3 linked regions of the Saccharomyces cerevisiae S288C genome follow. The main gene of each other region encodes a partner of the protein of the gene in region 2 in a complex. Each region holds a gene or a part of one and is shown on either strand. Other genes may lie near its edges. A codon is read from its position in the direction of its gene.

Region 1 (6,419 bases), on a different chromosome or scaffold from region 2:
AAACGTGTGGAAAATTGTTTGTTAAAGTCGAAGGATTCGCCTTGATACCATATTTACGCCCAACAATGCAGTATTGTTCCATGACGGGAAGTTTTGTGGCGTATAGTGTATTATATGCGTCGAAAGTAATAATTAGTGGCCTTGCCACCCTATGAACTTCAGACCACGCATTTATAGGTATTCTTTTCGGATAGGTCATTGAGCCAATTTCTGTGGATGTTCAAAAGTCTGCTTTTAACACACCTCTATAGACCGTAAAGGACAAAGGTCTCAGCGCTCTCTTTTTCTATTCATTCACCTACACTCTTTCGAGTTACTATGAGCGAAGATAATTGAATCGAGCGTCTTGATAATTTTGAAGAAAAAGAACAACAAACAATACAGGCGTCTTTTTCGCTTTCTTAAGTATTTTAATACTGATGTACAGAGATATATTATACATTACAATTGTACAAAAATATTGCGGGAAAGAAAAATTTCATCAGACTTTCTTGTAATATTTAGTTATTGAAAAAAAGATCATTTTTGGCAAAACAATAAGCATCTGTAATTTCAATCGCCTCGTAGGTACCTTGCAAGCTTGTAATTACCTTGTATTCATGAGAATATATATCAGTGACTTTATGCGTCTCAACAACCTGCGACCTCCTTTTGCCGTGTTTTCCATCAGTCTCTTCTGTCCTTACATAAGTTAGTGAGAATGGTGGGGTACCTTCAAACGAAAAGATTACTTCAGCCTGGTCACCTTCGCGGATATCCTCAGTAACGTAATTTCCTTGAGAAACAGTTACGGAAGGAATAGGATGTATGTTTAAAGATAAGTCATCAAATTCACTCTTTAATTTAGGGTTCGTAAAGTCGACAATGCATTGTGATGATGAATCCTGTAAAGAAGTGATAGATATAATGCCCGGTTCAGATGCTAATCTAACAAATTGGGAGCTGCGTTCCTTAGATTTTAGTGGAATACCGTTGAATTCATACTTAATCATGAAAGGTGCCACACCGTTTAATTGATATGCAACATAGTCCCCAACACAATACTCGGTAGAAGGATCTAATATATGTATCTTTGGTGCATCAGTAATTGACACAAGAATTTGATTACGCGGTCCAGATATGAGGCTGTTAACACAACCATTTGCGTCAACAACAGAATCAATAGTAATGGCATGGTTACCTAACTTCATCCCTTCATATAACTTTTCAAATGAAAAGTTCTCTGAGTCAATGTTGTCAATGGTATACTGATCTGTCCTACTGGTACTCTCGTGATAAACGCTAAAGGTGATTGAAAATGGGCTTTCGCCTTGTAAAAATTTCAAATTTATTGGTTCCAAAAATGAGATTTGATCTACATTAGCAGCACATGCACGCAAGGTTTTACCACCATCAGCAAAGGCGACGTCTGGAATGGGGTGCACTGTCTGTTTGATTATGAGCTCCGACTGATGTTCTCTAAAATGTATGTCGCTTTCACCATAATTGCCATCGAAGATGGCCTTAATAGTAGTTATGTACTCTCCAGGAATTTGATTAGGCAGTTTCAGTGAAGCGTATTTGGTTGCCACCTGAATTTTTTTTGTAGAAATATGACCGTTGGGTGCCATCAAATCATATTCTAATATGAATGGTGGAGAACCAAATAGAGCCAAATCAACCGTACCTTCCATCCCTTGACAGACTTCTTCTTTAGAGAATAAATTTTCCGTTACTTTTGTAATGTGATGATTGTCTTGAATTGCAAATTTTGGCTTCTCCAAGAAAGATACCTTATACAGACTGTTCCGGTAAATCACATTACCTTGGCAACTTGAGTCACGAATATCGACCAATTGGTAAAGCCCTTCTTTACTTACTTTCAAAGCGGGCTTATAACTATTCTGAAATTTGTTTTCAAATTCTTTCACAATGTTTCCATCGTAATCCATGTGTTTAAACTTAACGGTGAATGGCCCCTCTCCACTTAATTTGAGCGGAATTTCAGTGACAGAACCGTGCTTAATTTTAGCTTCTTTGATAGGTTCAAAAAAATTGAATGCAGCAGATGGAATATCTCTCCTCACCTGTATTTTAGCATCTGGTTGGCTGAGTCCAACTACACAGCCGGTAGAATCCTTGATAGAAACCAAAGATAGAATATAATCACCACCAGTAGTAAAGACTGGTGTTTTAATGACATATTCGTTGGTTTTTATTTCTTTAATTTCAAAAGTTTTCCTCTTGCTAGAAAAAGTTTCAATGATATCATATGTTAACGTAAAAGGGCCTTGGCCTTTTAGTGCTACTGGGACACTGCTGTGGTCACCCAAACAGAGTTTCAAATCATGGTGTAATTTTAGTGATGCGCTTGGTTTCACCCTCATTGATGTCTTGAAAGTATATTCTTTTACAGGTTCCAATTTGATTGGTTCAGTGAATAATTTATTAGAAACAGTATCAAACACGATTTCATAGTTACCTTCTTTAGGTGGACTATAGCTGAAGCGATTTCTCGTACCTTCAGAGGTGTATCTCTTTGCATCATATAACTTTCTTTCACCGTTTTCAAGCTTATAGATTTTAGTGTTATAATAGTATGGTGGAGCCCCAGTAAAAGATAGTTCAAAGTTTAGACCAACCTGTCCCACACACTGGTCCAATATTGGAAATGATTTAACTTCCATAGTAGGTGCAACTGGCATAGTTACAAGAACGTTTGATTTACCCACAATTTCACCTGGACAAAACTTAGATTCAATATATTCTAAGTTATATGACCCCGGAAGATCCGCTTGCAACACTTTGGTCAAAGAATCTGTAGTAACATTCATTATCTTTTTCGACTTGTCTTGTGCATCAGTATAGGATAGGCTAATAACATATGGAATGTCTGAAATCCAGTTTTTGATTTCTTCAAACACGATGGCAATAGACCTTTTTGTGGGTGACTTTGGATCAAATCTTTCTTCTAGCGCTGCACGTGGAACCTCATGAACATTGAAATTATAAGATAGATCATAGCGCTTTTTTAATTCTTCAGGGAGAGATGTAAAATCCACGACATTTCCCAGACCATCAGTTATTTTATCAATTTTATATGCAAATTTGCCGTCCTGGGTAATGGAAGAGTCTAAATTAATATTAACAGGTTGGTTTCTTCCCCATTTCAAATCGTTTAGTTCTCCTTGAGTAAAACTTTGTTTGGATTTGCTTGACTGCAAAGGAGACTCAAAATATTCTGGTTGCAAGCTGGAGTCTACATATGAAAAAGTTTGACCATTAACGATCTTAGAGTATGCTAATTTCATTGGGGGCACACCTTGAATTTCAAAAGAAACATTATCTGAATCGCCAATACATCTATCATTGCTTCCAGTTCCAGTAATAGATGCAATTGGACAGTAGGGTACAACCAAGTGTGACTGATGGATCTTTAAATTCAGTTTTTTTGAATCAACAATTTTTTTGATTTGATAAAAGCCAATATCTTGAAGAGTTACAGCCAAATAACGAATTGTACTGCCTTCTTCAAAATCGTTTGAATGTGACTTTAGAACTGACTGATCTTTTTTTAAAAAGGATTTGGGGTTATCGATGATTTTGAAGTCTTTCTTACTCAAAGACCGTAACTCTACCGAATTTGTGTAAAGATCTCTATATTCCAACTCGATATATTCAATCTCTTCAGTTGAGTTTATTCTGATGGGTACGTCAATTGAGTTAATTTTAAAAAGATTGGTATCCATGGGCAAACAATATGATTCATGAAGAGGATTAAACATAGCTGTGTTTTCAGGTAGGATCTTGATTGTTAGAGCACCCTTAAAATGAGCGGAAGAATCAAAAATACGATGATGGTTAATGGCTGAACCTGTTACACTTAATTCTTTCGTATAAAGTTTTCTCCATGTGGTCATAATTAATGAAATCAAAACGAACTCGTGATCGCTTGATATGAAAATGTTCAATAGTAGCATAGCTAAAATCTGGAGATAAACAACCCATGGCTTAAAAGTCAACCTAGGAATGTTAAAGGATGGTAAAACATACAGGAAGAAGGAATCTATAATGAAATACTTGGATATGAAATTAAATCGATAGTTCTTAAACAGTAAACCCGAAAGCGGTAACCCCGATTTAAGTATTACCAGGTCATATATTTTATAACATTGAATTATTAAAAACAATATCACCGCAAATGTCCTTTGTTTGGAAATTTCTAAAACATCGGTTGATATTAGAGGCAGTGAATAAATGTCTACCTTTTTATCACCATTAATGTAGCGGTCTTTGCTGTCACGTTCAGATATCCTTGATTTTTCATCGCTTATGTTACTTTCAGTACTTTTAAAGCTCCTCGAGCGTAAAGGTCGGATTTTCTCAGCGGGCTCATCGTCACTATATTGGAAGCGTCGTGTTGTGTTTACATTAGGACGACTGCTATAAGATGGACGTGGTGATCCTGACACAGAACTGCCCATCCAATGGTTCCCTCGTGGAGTATCATTAAACACGTTATATCTGTGCTCCATTATACAAGCCTCCTGATAAACGTATCTGGTATGATAAATCTATAATCCGTTTTGAATTGGTTCGATGAGTTTCCTCTTATTATGTCTTAAGCAATTCTTACTTTTGTTCAATAAAAAAAACGTATAAAGTTATTGACTACGTATATAATGACATAAAATACATAGTGCTATAGAACATAATGTTTTGAATTATGAAGGAAGTTAACATTAAGTGGTTGCAATTATTTGATGCCCTAGATAGGAATAATGTATTCTTCCTATATGTTCTTATATAATGAAACTCTATTTCTATAATACCAGCGCATTATTTTTTTTCTTTCTCTTCACCTGTGATGGTCTGGAAGCCCTTTCTGGTGATAAACTTAATGACTGTCCACTGGCCTTTTTGCTTCTTCTGATGCACTGCTATAGGATTTAAATCCCAACCAATCTTGAGATCGTTGTCAACTGTGGATCCAAATCTAGGAACCACATAACAATACCGTTCCGTAGGTGATAAATTAACGGTCTTCAAGCCTTGACCAGTCAGAGGTTTACTGTATGTCAAAAGAAGTCCCTTTCTTGCTATGTTCGCTAAGGGGGTGCTTGCGATGTCACATAAAGTATTCATCCTTGTTTTATTATTTCCACCAAGGTGCAAGGAATAATAGAGCATGTATTTGGGTGGCATTTCCCCCAAATTATTTAAAATTGAAGTCGGATGGATATAGACAAAGCAGTCCTCGATATTTGGTGTTCTCGTGGCCAAAACAGGAATATAAGGAATGTTGATTATGGAAGTTCTGTTGGTTATCTTAGCATCATCTGGAAATAAAACATCTGCTCTTACGGCAACATGGTCGACAAAACCAGCGCAAATCATTTGTTTTAAAAGTTTTATTTGTATGACGCTTGGAATATCACTTTTCAAGTCTTCATTCCTAATTACTACGGCAATATTTTCTTTTGAAGTGTTGGACTTGATGATATACATTAACTGCTTCCTCAATTTTACTATTTCTTCCATTAGTTTGCCTCTTAAAAAATTTTTCTTCATGAATATTTCTTTTTGTTCCTTTGGAACGTAGTCCATTGCACTTACAACACTTAATAAACGGAATACGTCACTAAATTTGTCTAATTTACTAAACTGACTCCTGCTTTTATAGAATTTACTGCGCAATTCCTTTTTCAGTTCAGGATCCATACCTGGTGTTGATTCATCGTGCTCTCTAATCTTATCATCTAGATTTTCATCTGGATTTGGTTTTCTAGAAATTTCGTTTATTCCCAACTCAAATTCATTGATAAAAGGATCTCCCACCGAAAGGGCACTAACAATTGCTACAATATAAGGAAGGCAGGCTTTTTCGTCAGAAACAAGTAACATTTTGGAAAATCTGGGTGAAAGTGGGAACAGGCTCATTTTTTTACCATCTTCAGTAATCATCTCCTTATTATCAAGAGCACCTAAATATTGCAGTAATTGTATTGCCTTGGAAAGGGCAACTCTATCTGGAGGAGTTGGAAATGGAAAATTAATGATATTATGAATGGCCATGCTCTTCATTTGTAACACGATGCTCTCCACTGGCATTCTTAAGATTTCAGGTTTAGAGAACTGTTCGAAATCATGTTCAAAAACAGCAGACGAATATAAACGGTAACAATGGCCTGGTCCAGTACGACCTGCTCTACCGCTTCTTTGATTGGCACTAGCTTTACTTACCCAGCCCACTTCAAAACTCTGTACGCCATTTGATTCATTATATTTACGCTCTTTAGACCTCCCGGAATCAACAACATATCTAACTCCAGGTATAGTTAACGATGTTTCTGCAACATTTGTTGCAACAATACAAAGCCTAGAACCTTGAGGAGGTTTTTGAAAGACTCTCATTTGTTCCTTGGTTGGTAATAGAGAAT
Region 2 (4,803 bases):
CGAACTGGGCAACCATGGTGGCTCTTCAGCCGGCGAAACATCAGCAGGATTGTTGTTTTTGTCACCTAAGCTGGCGCAATTTGCTAGGCCAGAATCGCAAGTAAACTACACATTGCCCATCAACGCTAGTCCGGACTGGAATTTCCAGTATTTAGAGACTGTTCAACAAATTGATATCGTCCCCACCATAGCAGCACTGTTTGGTATGCCAATCCCCATGAACAGTGTTGGGATAATAATACCTGACTTTTTACAACTGTTGCCCAATAAGTTGGCAAGTATGAAAGAAAATTTTATGCATTTGTGGAAATTATCAGACCATCACGGCGAGGTTGCTCTTGACGATTTCACTGCCGAAGATATTTATACAAAGATGTACACTATTCAAGAAACGTTAACCAAGTCTGCAACAAATTATAATTATCCTCTTTTGACACTGGCTTTTGTTGGTTTCCTCATAATAACAATCATCGCCATTTATGTATTATTACGTTATTCTGGGCCTGATTTTTGGCAGTTGCGCGTTTCTTCCCTGTCTGTTCTGTTAGTTTCCATTATACTAGGCGTTTCCACATTTGCAAGTAGTTTCATTGAAGAGGAGCACCAACTGTGGTGGTGGATAGTAACTGCATTCTCGGCGGTCCCTCTGTTCGTATACCGATTGAATGTGCTCATAATCGTGCGCTGGTTTATAATGATGGCATGCGTACGCTCAATCAAGTTTTGGAATAACAGTGGCCAGAAATTCATTTATTCTAACGTTATGTCCAATCTACTTAATCAGAATCCTTCCTGGAAGTGGTGCTTAAATATGTTGACATTTCTAGTGCTGATAATGGCATCTGCTGGTTTTCAAGTACTACATTTTATTGTCACTACTATTTTGGTGGGGTTGTGTTTCACGTACAAAATCTCGTGGGAAATCGTCAATGGTAACCAGGCAGAAATACCGCTCTTTATGCATGATTTACTGGCTAAGATAGACTTTGCACCAACTGAAAGTAACTTGATTGTACTTGCGCGCGTTTTCTTCCAAGCTTGGGCTATTGTTGTCATTTCAAGGTTGGTCCTGACGAAATTGAAAGTACTTAACAAGAACTACCTCATTAAAGATATGAAAGTTTATATAACAATTCTTTTGATGTTCCAAACTTCTTCTCAGAACATAGGTCAATTTCTCGTTTTCCAAATATTAGAGTCCCAAATTTTTTACTTTTTCCAAAATATTCCAACCGCCTCATTAACATCAACAAGTAAGATTTATTTTTCGAATTTGGTGTCCTTAATTTTACAAAATTTTACATTTTTCCAATTCGGTGGCACAAATTCCATTTCTACTATAGACCTTGGAAACGCATACCATGGTGTTTCCTCAGACTACAACATCTACGTAGTGGGGATATTAATGTCCGTTGCCAATTTCGCGCCGGCAATATACTGGTCCATGCTACCGTGGTCAATAAACTACGCCTCTATTCCAGCACAAGTTAAGTTGCAAACGTTCATCAGAAGTAAGTTACCTGCCTTCACCTATCATTGTATATTTGGAACTTGTTTGATGACGGCATGCGTCGTTTTGAGATTTCATCTCTTTATTTGGTCCGTTTTCAGTCCAAAATTATGTTATTTTCTTGGGTGGAATTTTGTGATGGGATTGCTGAATGGCTGGTTACCTGAATTGGCCCTCCTTTGCGCTCTTGATTAACATAGAATTGTTCACGTGGTCTAAATATGTATACATATATGATAGTTTATAGATTCATACTGAGACAAGTGAAAAAAAAAAAATCTACTATCGACCTTCTCTCTTTTCGCGGCAGCAAAAATGAAAAATTAACTTCAATAAAAAAGTTGAATACTTTCAAATATTCTAATTGCATTTAATATTTAAGCAACAAAAGGACAGCGATAATTGAGTGGTGGCTTAATTCTATACTCCAAAGTATGTCCCAATCTAGTAGGTTAAGTGCACTTCCTATTTTCCAAGCATCGCTTTCGGCAAGCCAATCTCCACGTTACATTTTTAGTTCTCAGAATGGCACAAGGATTGTTTTCATTCAAGATAACATAATAAGGTGGTACAATGTACTCACTGATTCACTTTACCACAGTTTGAACTTTAGTCGTCATCTCGTCTTGGATGATACCTTCCATGTAATATCTAGTACGTCTGGTGACCTACTCTGTCTTTTCAATGACAACGAGATTTTTGTAATGGAAGTTCCTTGGGGCTATTCCAACGTTGAAGACGTTTCCATTCAAGATGCATTCCAAATTTTCCACTATTCAATTGATGAAGAAGAAGTTGGTCCGAAATCGTCCATTAAGAAAGTTTTGTTTCATCCAAAGAGTTATCGTGATTCTTGTATAGTGGTTTTGAAAGAGGATGACACTATCACGATGTTTGACATCCTTAATTCGCAAGAAAAGCCTATCGTTTTGAACAAACCGAACAACTCCTTTGGTTTAGATGCACGTGTTAACGACATCACAGATTTAGAATTCAGTAAGGACGGATTGACGTTATATTGTCTAAACACCACAGAAGGCGGTGATATCTTTGCATTTTATCCATTTTTACCGTCAGTATTACTGTTAAATGAGAAAGATCTCAACTTGATCCTAAACAAATCTTTAGTAATGTACGAGTCCCTGGATTCTACAACAGATGTTATAGTTAAAAGGAATGTTATTAAGCAGTTACAGTTTGTGTCAAAACTGCATGAAAATTGGAATTCAAGATTTGGCAAAGTCGACATACAAAAGGAATATCGTTTAGCCAAGGTTCAAGGACCATTCACGATAAACCCCTTTCCCGGCGAGCTGTATGACTATACTGCTACAAATATTGCAACCATACTAATTGATAATGGGCAAAATGAAATTGTTTGTGTCAGTTTTGATGATGGGTCTTTAATCTTACTCTTCAAAGATTTGGAAATGTCAATGTCGTGGGATGTTGACAATTACGTGTATAATAATTCTTTGGTTCTAATTGAACGAGTCAAACTACAAAGAGAAATTAAGTCTCTAATAACGTTACCTGAACAGTTGGGAAAACTTTATGTCATTTCCGATAATATTATACAACAAGTAAATTTTATGAGCTGGGCTTCTACATTGAGTAAATGTATCAACGAATCGGATTTGAATCCACTTGCAGGATTGAAATTTGAAAGTAAACTTGAGGATATTGCCACCATAGAAAGAATTCCAAACCTAGCGTATATCAACTGGAATGACCAATCTAATTTAGCCTTGATGTCGAATAAAACATTGACTTTTCAAAATATTTCAAGCGATATGAAACCGCAAAGCACCGCAGCTGAAACAAGTATCAGTACAGAAAAAAGTGACACGGTAGGAGATGGTTTTAAAATGAGTTTCACACAGCCCATAAATGAGATTCTTATTTTGAACGATAATTTTCAAAAAGCCTGTATTAGTCCATGTGAACGAATTATCCCATCAGCAGACCGCCAGATACCTTTAAAAAACGAAGCTAGTGAAAATCAGTTGGAAATTTTCACGGATATTTCCAAAGAATTTTTGCAAAGAATTGTTAAAGCTCAAACTTTGGGTGTTTCTATCCACAATAGAATTCATGAGCAACAGTTCGAATTGACGCGCCAACTACAATCGACATGCAAAATAATTTCAAAGGATGATGATTTAAGGAGAAAATTCGAAGCACAAAATAAGAAATGGGATGCACAACTAAGCAGACAGTCAGAATTAATGGAGAGATTTAGTAAATTGAGCAAGAAGCTATCTCAAATCGCCGAATCCAATAAATTTAAAGAAAAGAAAATAAGCCATGGTGAGATGAAATGGTTCAAAGAGATACGAAACCAAATATTGCAATTCAACAGCTTTGTTCACTCTCAAAAATCCCTTCAACAAGATTTATCGTACTTGAAGAGTGAACTAACTCGTATCGAGGCAGAAACTATCAAAGTCGATAAAAAGAGCCAAAACGAATGGGATGAGCTACGCAAAATGCTTGAAATAGATTCAAAGATAATTAAAGAATGCAATGAAGAATTGTTACAAGTTTCTCAGGAATTTACTACTAAAACTCAATGAGTAAGCGACTTGCATAGTCTGCTATCATATATGTACGCTAAGAAACAACTGGGCAATGGTATAATATCATGTAGCAAGAGGACATTATATATGAATTGGTCAATATATAAAGCCTTCTGTGCACCAAATCGTTAGGATGATTTTTCAGTATGCTGTATCATTGTATCGTATATTCATTCGTATCTCTTTTACCTCACTAACCGCTGCCAAAATTTACATGTATACAAAATAAAAGTCTTTTTTATGACCTTATTTGGTGAGTAATGCTACTTTTGTAAAGAGTGATGGAAACTATTATTCCAAAGGGTTAGAAGAAGGTGAGGAATACGTTCATATCACCGCTACAGATCGTGTCTCTCGGTTATGAGTAATCAAACCCTCTGCAAGCAACACAGTTACTTTTTTTCGGTTTTTTCTTTTCGTGTGAATTTTTATCCAGTGAGTTTCCTTGTTCACTTTCGAGAATGGAAGGCTGATTTCGAATTTTTATATTCAACAACTGTATTTGTATTAGGCTTTGCAATAGTAGATGAAAAGTGCAGAAGACGAATCTGCTACCCTCACAATACAAAGAAAAACAAAATCGTCATTTTAATATAGGAAGACACCGCTCAGGTAATTCAATATTGAATCTGGTTGCACTTTTCTTACGATGTAAATACCCACAAACTTCTTGTACGGTGAGCGTCTGACAACGAAATCAATTTACGGAGCAAG
Region 3 (5,535 bases), on a different chromosome or scaffold from region 2:
ACGACCTGGATTTGGCTAGCACACCTTACAAGACACTAAGATATCATGAAAAAGCCGTCAGAAGTGTGAATTTCCACAAAAAGTTACCTCTATTCAGCTCTGCCGCTGATGACGGTACCATACATGTTTTCCATGCCACTGTTTATGATGACATGATGAAAAATCCGATGATTGTGCCACTAAAGAAACTAACCGGTCATAAAGTAATCAATAGTCTGGGTGTTCTTGATGCTATTTGGCATCCGAGGGAAGCTTGGCTGTTTTCTGCCGGTGCTGATAATACGGCTCGCTTATGGACCACCTAGATAAATAATTTGAAGTAGATATTGTATAATAACGCCCAAGAAGAAAAAATCAAACACTCGAACCAGGCTCTTTCTACAAGCTTTATTTACACAATATATATAAACCTATATGTATAGATGCCCACACGCACGTTTGGATTATTACCTTCAATGACATTGCTAAAAGCCCATTTCCTTCATAGCATCCAACTCATCTTGATCTACGCCAAACTCATCTCCCCCTGGCAATAAATCATAATGAGTATGTTGTCCCTCTATATCATTCATTTCCCACTCTTCCAAACTTTGAATCAGTTGAACGTCTTCTTCAGTCATAGAGCCTTTTTCCATTTTTCTATGCGCATCTAGCCATCCTAATAAGAGCTTCTTCTCATTTTCTTCAAGGCCAACGGGCCCTTGTACCCTGAATGTCTTCAATAATGCATCCAAATCTTCCTTAGGCGGCACAACGTTGTTAAGTACCGTTTCATTATTCCCACGTTCGTCCAAAACTCGTCCTCTTCTGTTGCGATAAGAAAGGTGATAGATATCGTCATCTTCGTCATTATCGTAATCGACATTGTTTACATTCCTTTTGTCTTGCGCAAAACTATCTGCGACAATAGGCCTCTCTTCCGCGGAAGTGACATGTTCTTCAACCATAGGTGATTGTCTTTCCAGGTCTTGCCCAGTCTCCCGTGTGCCAACATCGAAACTCATGCCCATCTCGTCCCTAAAAAGGCTGACTCTATATTCTCTAAGAACTGGATCTGTTTTACCTACTGTTTGACAGATCTTCATAAAATCCTTAAATTTTGCCTTGGGAAACAATTCATGTGCCCAAAGCTGGTAAAACTGAATAATATTTGATAAGTTGTCATATGAGTTTTTTTTTGAGGAAATTCGTATCCTTTTATGTGCATTTTTCAAAACATATGGTAAACCTTTATCACTGAGTAGTTTTTCGGCTGTTAATTTTACTTGAGGCCTTCTCTTTCTAGCTGTAATTGCGGTTGGATCCGCAATGGTAGGATCAACTACTGAACCATCCAAGCCATTTGGTACAGTTGGGTCTTTTTGGACACTATCGGAGTCATTGAAACCTAGTAATAAACTGTCAAAATCTTGATCCATGACCTCAATAAAAGTTTCTGTTCACGTTTTCATGGCATTTTAATCCAGTATATCATTGATCTTGTTACGCGTCAGTTTATTATTGTCACTTTTGCAGATTATCATTACCCGGCATTTTTCCTTACCATGCTCATTAGAAAAAGAACAAAACTAAATTATACTTAGAGTTAATAAAGTGTCATAAGGTCGCAAAGGAAACTATCAGCATTGCATAGAGATCCCGGCAACTGAGAGGCACCATTCAGCTTCGAAGATTTCTTTTTTAAAACATTATTATGTTTGGAGTTAGCCGTGGCGCATTCCCCAGCGCAACAACACAGCCATTTGGCTCAACAGGATCAACCTTTGGTGGCCAACAGCAACAACAACAACCAGTAGCAAACACTTCTGCTTTCGGCCTCAGTCAGCAAACAAATACAACACAAGCACCTGCGTTTGGTAACTTTGGTAACCAAACTTCTAATTCTCCCTTCGGAATGTCAGGCTCGACTACAGCAAATGGTACTCCTTTTGGTCAAAGTCAATTGACGAACAACAATGCCTCTGGCTCGATCTTCGGTGGAATGGGTAATAACACAGCACTTTCTGCTGGTTCCGCTTCTGTTGTGCCCAATTCTACTGCAGGTACAAGCATTAAACCTTTTACTACATTCGAAGAGAAGGATCCAACCACAGGTGTCATCAACGTCTTCCAAAGTATCACCTGTATGCCTGAATACAGAAATTTTTCTTTTGAAGAATTGAGATTTCAAGATTACCAAGCTGGTAGAAAATTCGGTACCAGTCAAAATGGCACTGGTACTACTTTTAACAATCCTCAAGGAACTACCAATACTGGATTTGGAATTATGGGTAATAATAACTCCACTACTTCTGCTACAACAGGAGGATTATTTGGTCAAAAGCCAGCAACAGGCATGTTTGGAACCGGAACTGGAAGTGGTGGTGGCTTTGGCTCTGGAGCGACCAACTCTACAGGATTGTTTGGAAGCTCTACTAACCTCTCAGGAAATTCTGCATTTGGAGCAAATAAACCTGCCACTTCCGGGGGATTGTTTGGTAATACAACTAACAACCCAACAAACGGCACTAATAATACAGGCCTTTTCGGCCAGCAGAACTCAAATACAAACGGAGGATTATTTGGTCAACAGCAAAATTCATTTGGGGCGAATAATGTCAGTAACGGGGGAGCCTTTGGTCAGGTGAATCGTGGTGCCTTTCCCCAACAACAAACACAACAAGGTAGTGGTGGTATATTTGGTCAATCAAACGCTAACGCAAATGGTGGCGCTTTCGGCCAACAGCAAGGCACTGGTGCTCTTTTTGGAGCTAAACCTGCTTCTGGTGGACTATTTGGACAATCTGCTGGTTCAAAAGCATTCGGAATGAATACCAACCCCACTGGTACCACTGGTGGCTTATTTGGGCAAACCAATCAGCAGCAAAGTGGAGGAGGGTTATTTGGCCAGCAACAAAATTCCAACGCTGGAGGATTGTTCGGTCAGAATAACCAAAGCCAGAACCAATCCGGATTATTTGGACAACAAAACTCCTCAAACGCATTTGGCCAGCCACAGCAACAAGGCGGATTATTTGGAAGCAAACCTGCAGGAGGACTGTTTGGACAACAGCAGGGAGCATCCACTTTTGCGTCTGGTAATGCCCAAAATAATTCTATATTTGGGCAAAATAACCAACAACAGCAATCAACCGGGGGATTATTCGGACAACAAAACAACCAGTCGCAGTCCCAACCTGGTGGATTGTTTGGCCAGACCAATCAAAATAATAATCAGCCATTTGGCCAAAATGGGTTACAACAACCACAACAGAATAATAGTCTTTTTGGAGCGAAACCAACTGGTTTTGGAAATACAAGCTTATTCTCTAACAGCACAACAAATCAAAGTAACGGTATAAGTGGAAATAATTTGCAGCAGCAATCAGGAGGTTTGTTCCAAAATAAACAGCAACCTGCTTCGGGTGGCCTGTTTGGTTCAAAACCATCAAACACTGTTGGAGGCGGATTATTTGGAAACAATCAAGTTGCAAATCAAAACAATCCTGCCTCAACTAGCGGCGGATTATTTGGTAGCAAACCTGCTACAGGATCCCTTTTCGGAGGTACTAATTCCACGGCTCCAAACGCCTCTTCGGGTGGAATATTTGGGTCCAATAATGCATCTAACACGGCGGCCACCACCAATTCTACTGGTTTATTTGGTAATAAACCAGTTGGTGCGGGAGCTTCTACAAGTGCTGGAGGACTATTTGGAAACAATAACAACTCGTCTCTAAACAATTCCAACGGTTCAACGGGCCTGTTTGGTAGTAATAACACCTCTCAATCTACTAATGCTGGAGGCTTATTTCAGAATAACACTAGTACGAACACTTCGGGCGGAGGGTTATTTTCCCAACCTTCCCAGTCAATGGCACAATCACAAAATGCGCTCCAACAACAGCAGCAGCAACAACGATTACAAATTCAGAATAACAATCCCTACGGTACTAATGAGCTTTTTTCGAAAGCAACTGTCACCAACACGGTTTCCTATCCAATTCAACCAAGCGCTACAAAGATCAAAGCCGATGAACGCAAAAAAGCCAGTTTGACGAACGCATACAAAATGATTCCTAAAACTTTATTTACAGCCAAGCTCAAGACTAATAATTCCGTCATGGATAAGGCCCAGATCAAGGTTGATCCAAAGTTGTCGATTTCCATTGATAAAAAGAATAATCAGATTGCGATTTCTAACCAGCAGGAGGAAAATTTGGACGAAAGCATATTAAAAGCTTCTGAGTTATTATTCAATCCCGATAAAAGGTCATTCAAGAATCTAATTAATAACAGGAAAATGTTGATCGCATCCGAGGAAAAGAATAACGGATCACAGAACAACGATATGAATTTTAAAAGTAAAAGTGAAGAACAAGAAACGATCTTGGGAAAGCCAAAGATGGATGAAAAAGAAACTGCTAATGGGGGGGAAAGAATGGTTTTGTCCTCAAAGAACGATGGGGAAGATAGCGCAACGAAACATCATTCCCGGAATATGGACGAAGAAAATAAAGAAAATGTCGCCGATTTACAGAAGCAAGAATATTCAGAAGATGATAAAAAGGCTGTTTTTGCGGACGTTGCGGAAAAAGATGCCTCCTTCATTAATGAGAACTACTATATCTCACCATCCCTGGACACATTATCCTCTTATTCTCTCTTGCAACTGCGCAAAGTTCCTCATTTAGTTGTGGGTCATAAAAGTTATGGTAAAATTGAATTTCTTGAACCTGTTGACCTCGCTGGAATTCCTTTGACCTCATTAGGGGGCGTAATCATTACTTTTGAACCAAAAACCTGTATAATATATGCGAACTTACCAAACAGACCGAAGAGAGGGGAGGGCATTAATGTTCGGGCCAGGATTACCTGCTTTAACTGTTATCCTGTAGACAAATCTACCAGAAAACCTATAAAGGATCCAAATCATCAACTGGTTAAAAGGCATATCGAACGCTTAAAGAAAAATCCAAATTCTAAGTTCGAAAGCTATGATGCAGACAGTGGTACATACGTGTTTATCGTAAACCACGCTGCAGAGCAGACCTGAGTTATTATATAACGAAACTATATATAGAATCAAATACAAATTTGTAATGCATTTAGTGTAATTAACCTGTTAAATTTTTGAGTATAAAATTATAGATGGAACAAGTGATAAAAAAGAGAAAAGGGACCCTTCATAGACCTGCTGCGATAATTACATCCTTTTGAAAAAGACAATAATTCATGTCGTTTGTTGCCTTCCCTTTTTCTTTTCTTTGAAAAAAAAAGAAAATGCCATCTCCTAGAATCGAACCAGGGTTTCATCGGCCACAACGATGTGTACTAACCACTATACTAAGATGGCAAACTTGGATTGTTAAGAAAAACATGCTGGGCTATACAGTACATTTACCGCATATGTACCTCTAGCCACCACCCGAACATGGAATTTATTCGTCCTGTAGTGTCAAGCGGTGCGAATGCCAAGGTCACAGCTTCATTGAAAATGATGTTGGAATAAAAATCCACTATCGTCTATCAACTAATAGTTATATTATCAATATA

What was found. Proteins that work in one complex are often made in the same cells at the same time.
Region 1: NUP82 (region 2) and POM152 share a complex: the UniProt entries of both Saccharomyces cerevisiae proteins name them as parts of the nuclear pore complex.
Region 3: the proteins of NUP82 (region 2) and NUP116 are in contact, whole or in part, in a crystal structure (PDB 3PBP), measured with the Saccharomyces cerevisiae proteins. Residues at the interface, in NP_012474.1 of Saccharomyces cerevisiae: Asn171 (codon at 2,455), Ser172 (codon at 2,458), Phe173 (codon at 2,461), Gly174 (codon at 2,464), Leu175 (codon at 2,467), Asp176 (codon at 2,470), Thr199 (codon at 2,539), Thr200 (codon at 2,542), Glu201 (codon at 2,545), Gly202 (codon at 2,548), Gly203 (codon at 2,551), Asp204 (codon at 2,554), Pro284 (codon at 2,794), Phe285 (codon at 2,797), Thr286 (codon at 2,800), Ile287 (codon at 2,803), Asn288 (codon at 2,806), Pro289 (codon at 2,809), Phe290 (codon at 2,812), Tyr295 (codon at 2,827), Asp296 (codon at 2,830), Tyr297 (codon at 2,833), Thr298 (codon at 2,836), Val343 (codon at 2,971), Asn346 (codon at 2,980); in NP_013762.1 of Saccharomyces cerevisiae: Lys1029 (codon at 4,778), Thr1030 (codon at 4,781), Cys1031 (codon at 4,784), Ile1032 (codon at 4,787), Ile1033 (codon at 4,790), Pro1038 (codon at 4,805), Ile1053 (codon at 4,850), Cys1055 (codon at 4,856), Cys1058 (codon at 4,865), Val1061 (codon at 4,874), Asp1062 (codon at 4,877), Lys1063 (codon at 4,880), Ser1064 (codon at 4,883), Thr1065 (codon at 4,886), Arg1066 (codon at 4,889), His1074 (codon at 4,913), Gln1075 (codon at 4,916), Leu1076 (codon at 4,919), Arg1079 (codon at 4,928), His1080 (codon at 4,931), Arg1083 (codon at 4,940), Leu1084 (codon at 4,943), Asn1089 (codon at 4,958), Tyr1102 (codon at 4,997), Phe1104 (codon at 5,003), Val1106 (codon at 5,009), His1108 (codon at 5,015), Ala1109 (codon at 5,018), Glu1111 (codon at 5,024).

The regions. Positions count from the first base shown.
Region 1 is NC_001145.3:525,899-532,317, reverse strand, and holds POM152 (Pom152p), read right to left. Parts: upstream 4,515-6,419; coding exon 501-4,514; downstream 1-500. Other genes in the region: DPI35 (Dpi35p), read right to left, coding at 1-199; ATP-dependent RNA helicase ECM16, read right to left, coding at 4,819-6,419. UniProt on the Saccharomyces cerevisiae protein: Functions as a component of the nuclear pore complex (NPC).
Region 2 is NC_001142.9:318,072-322,874, forward strand, and holds NUP82 (linker nucleoporin NUP82), read left to right. Parts: upstream 1-1,944; coding exon 1,945-4,086; downstream 4,087-4,803. Other genes in the region: mannose-ethanolamine phosphotransferase LAS21, read left to right, coding at 1-1,705. UniProt on the Saccharomyces cerevisiae protein: Functions as a component of the nuclear pore complex (NPC).
Region 3 is NC_001145.3:362,864-368,398, reverse strand, and holds NUP116 (FG-nucleoporin NUP116), read left to right. Parts: upstream 1-1,693; coding exon 1,694-5,035; downstream 5,036-5,535. Other genes in the region: ribosome biogenesis protein ERB1, read left to right, coding at 1-305; CSM3 (Csm3p), read right to left, coding at 465-1,418. UniProt on the Saccharomyces cerevisiae protein: Functions as a component of the nuclear pore complex (NPC).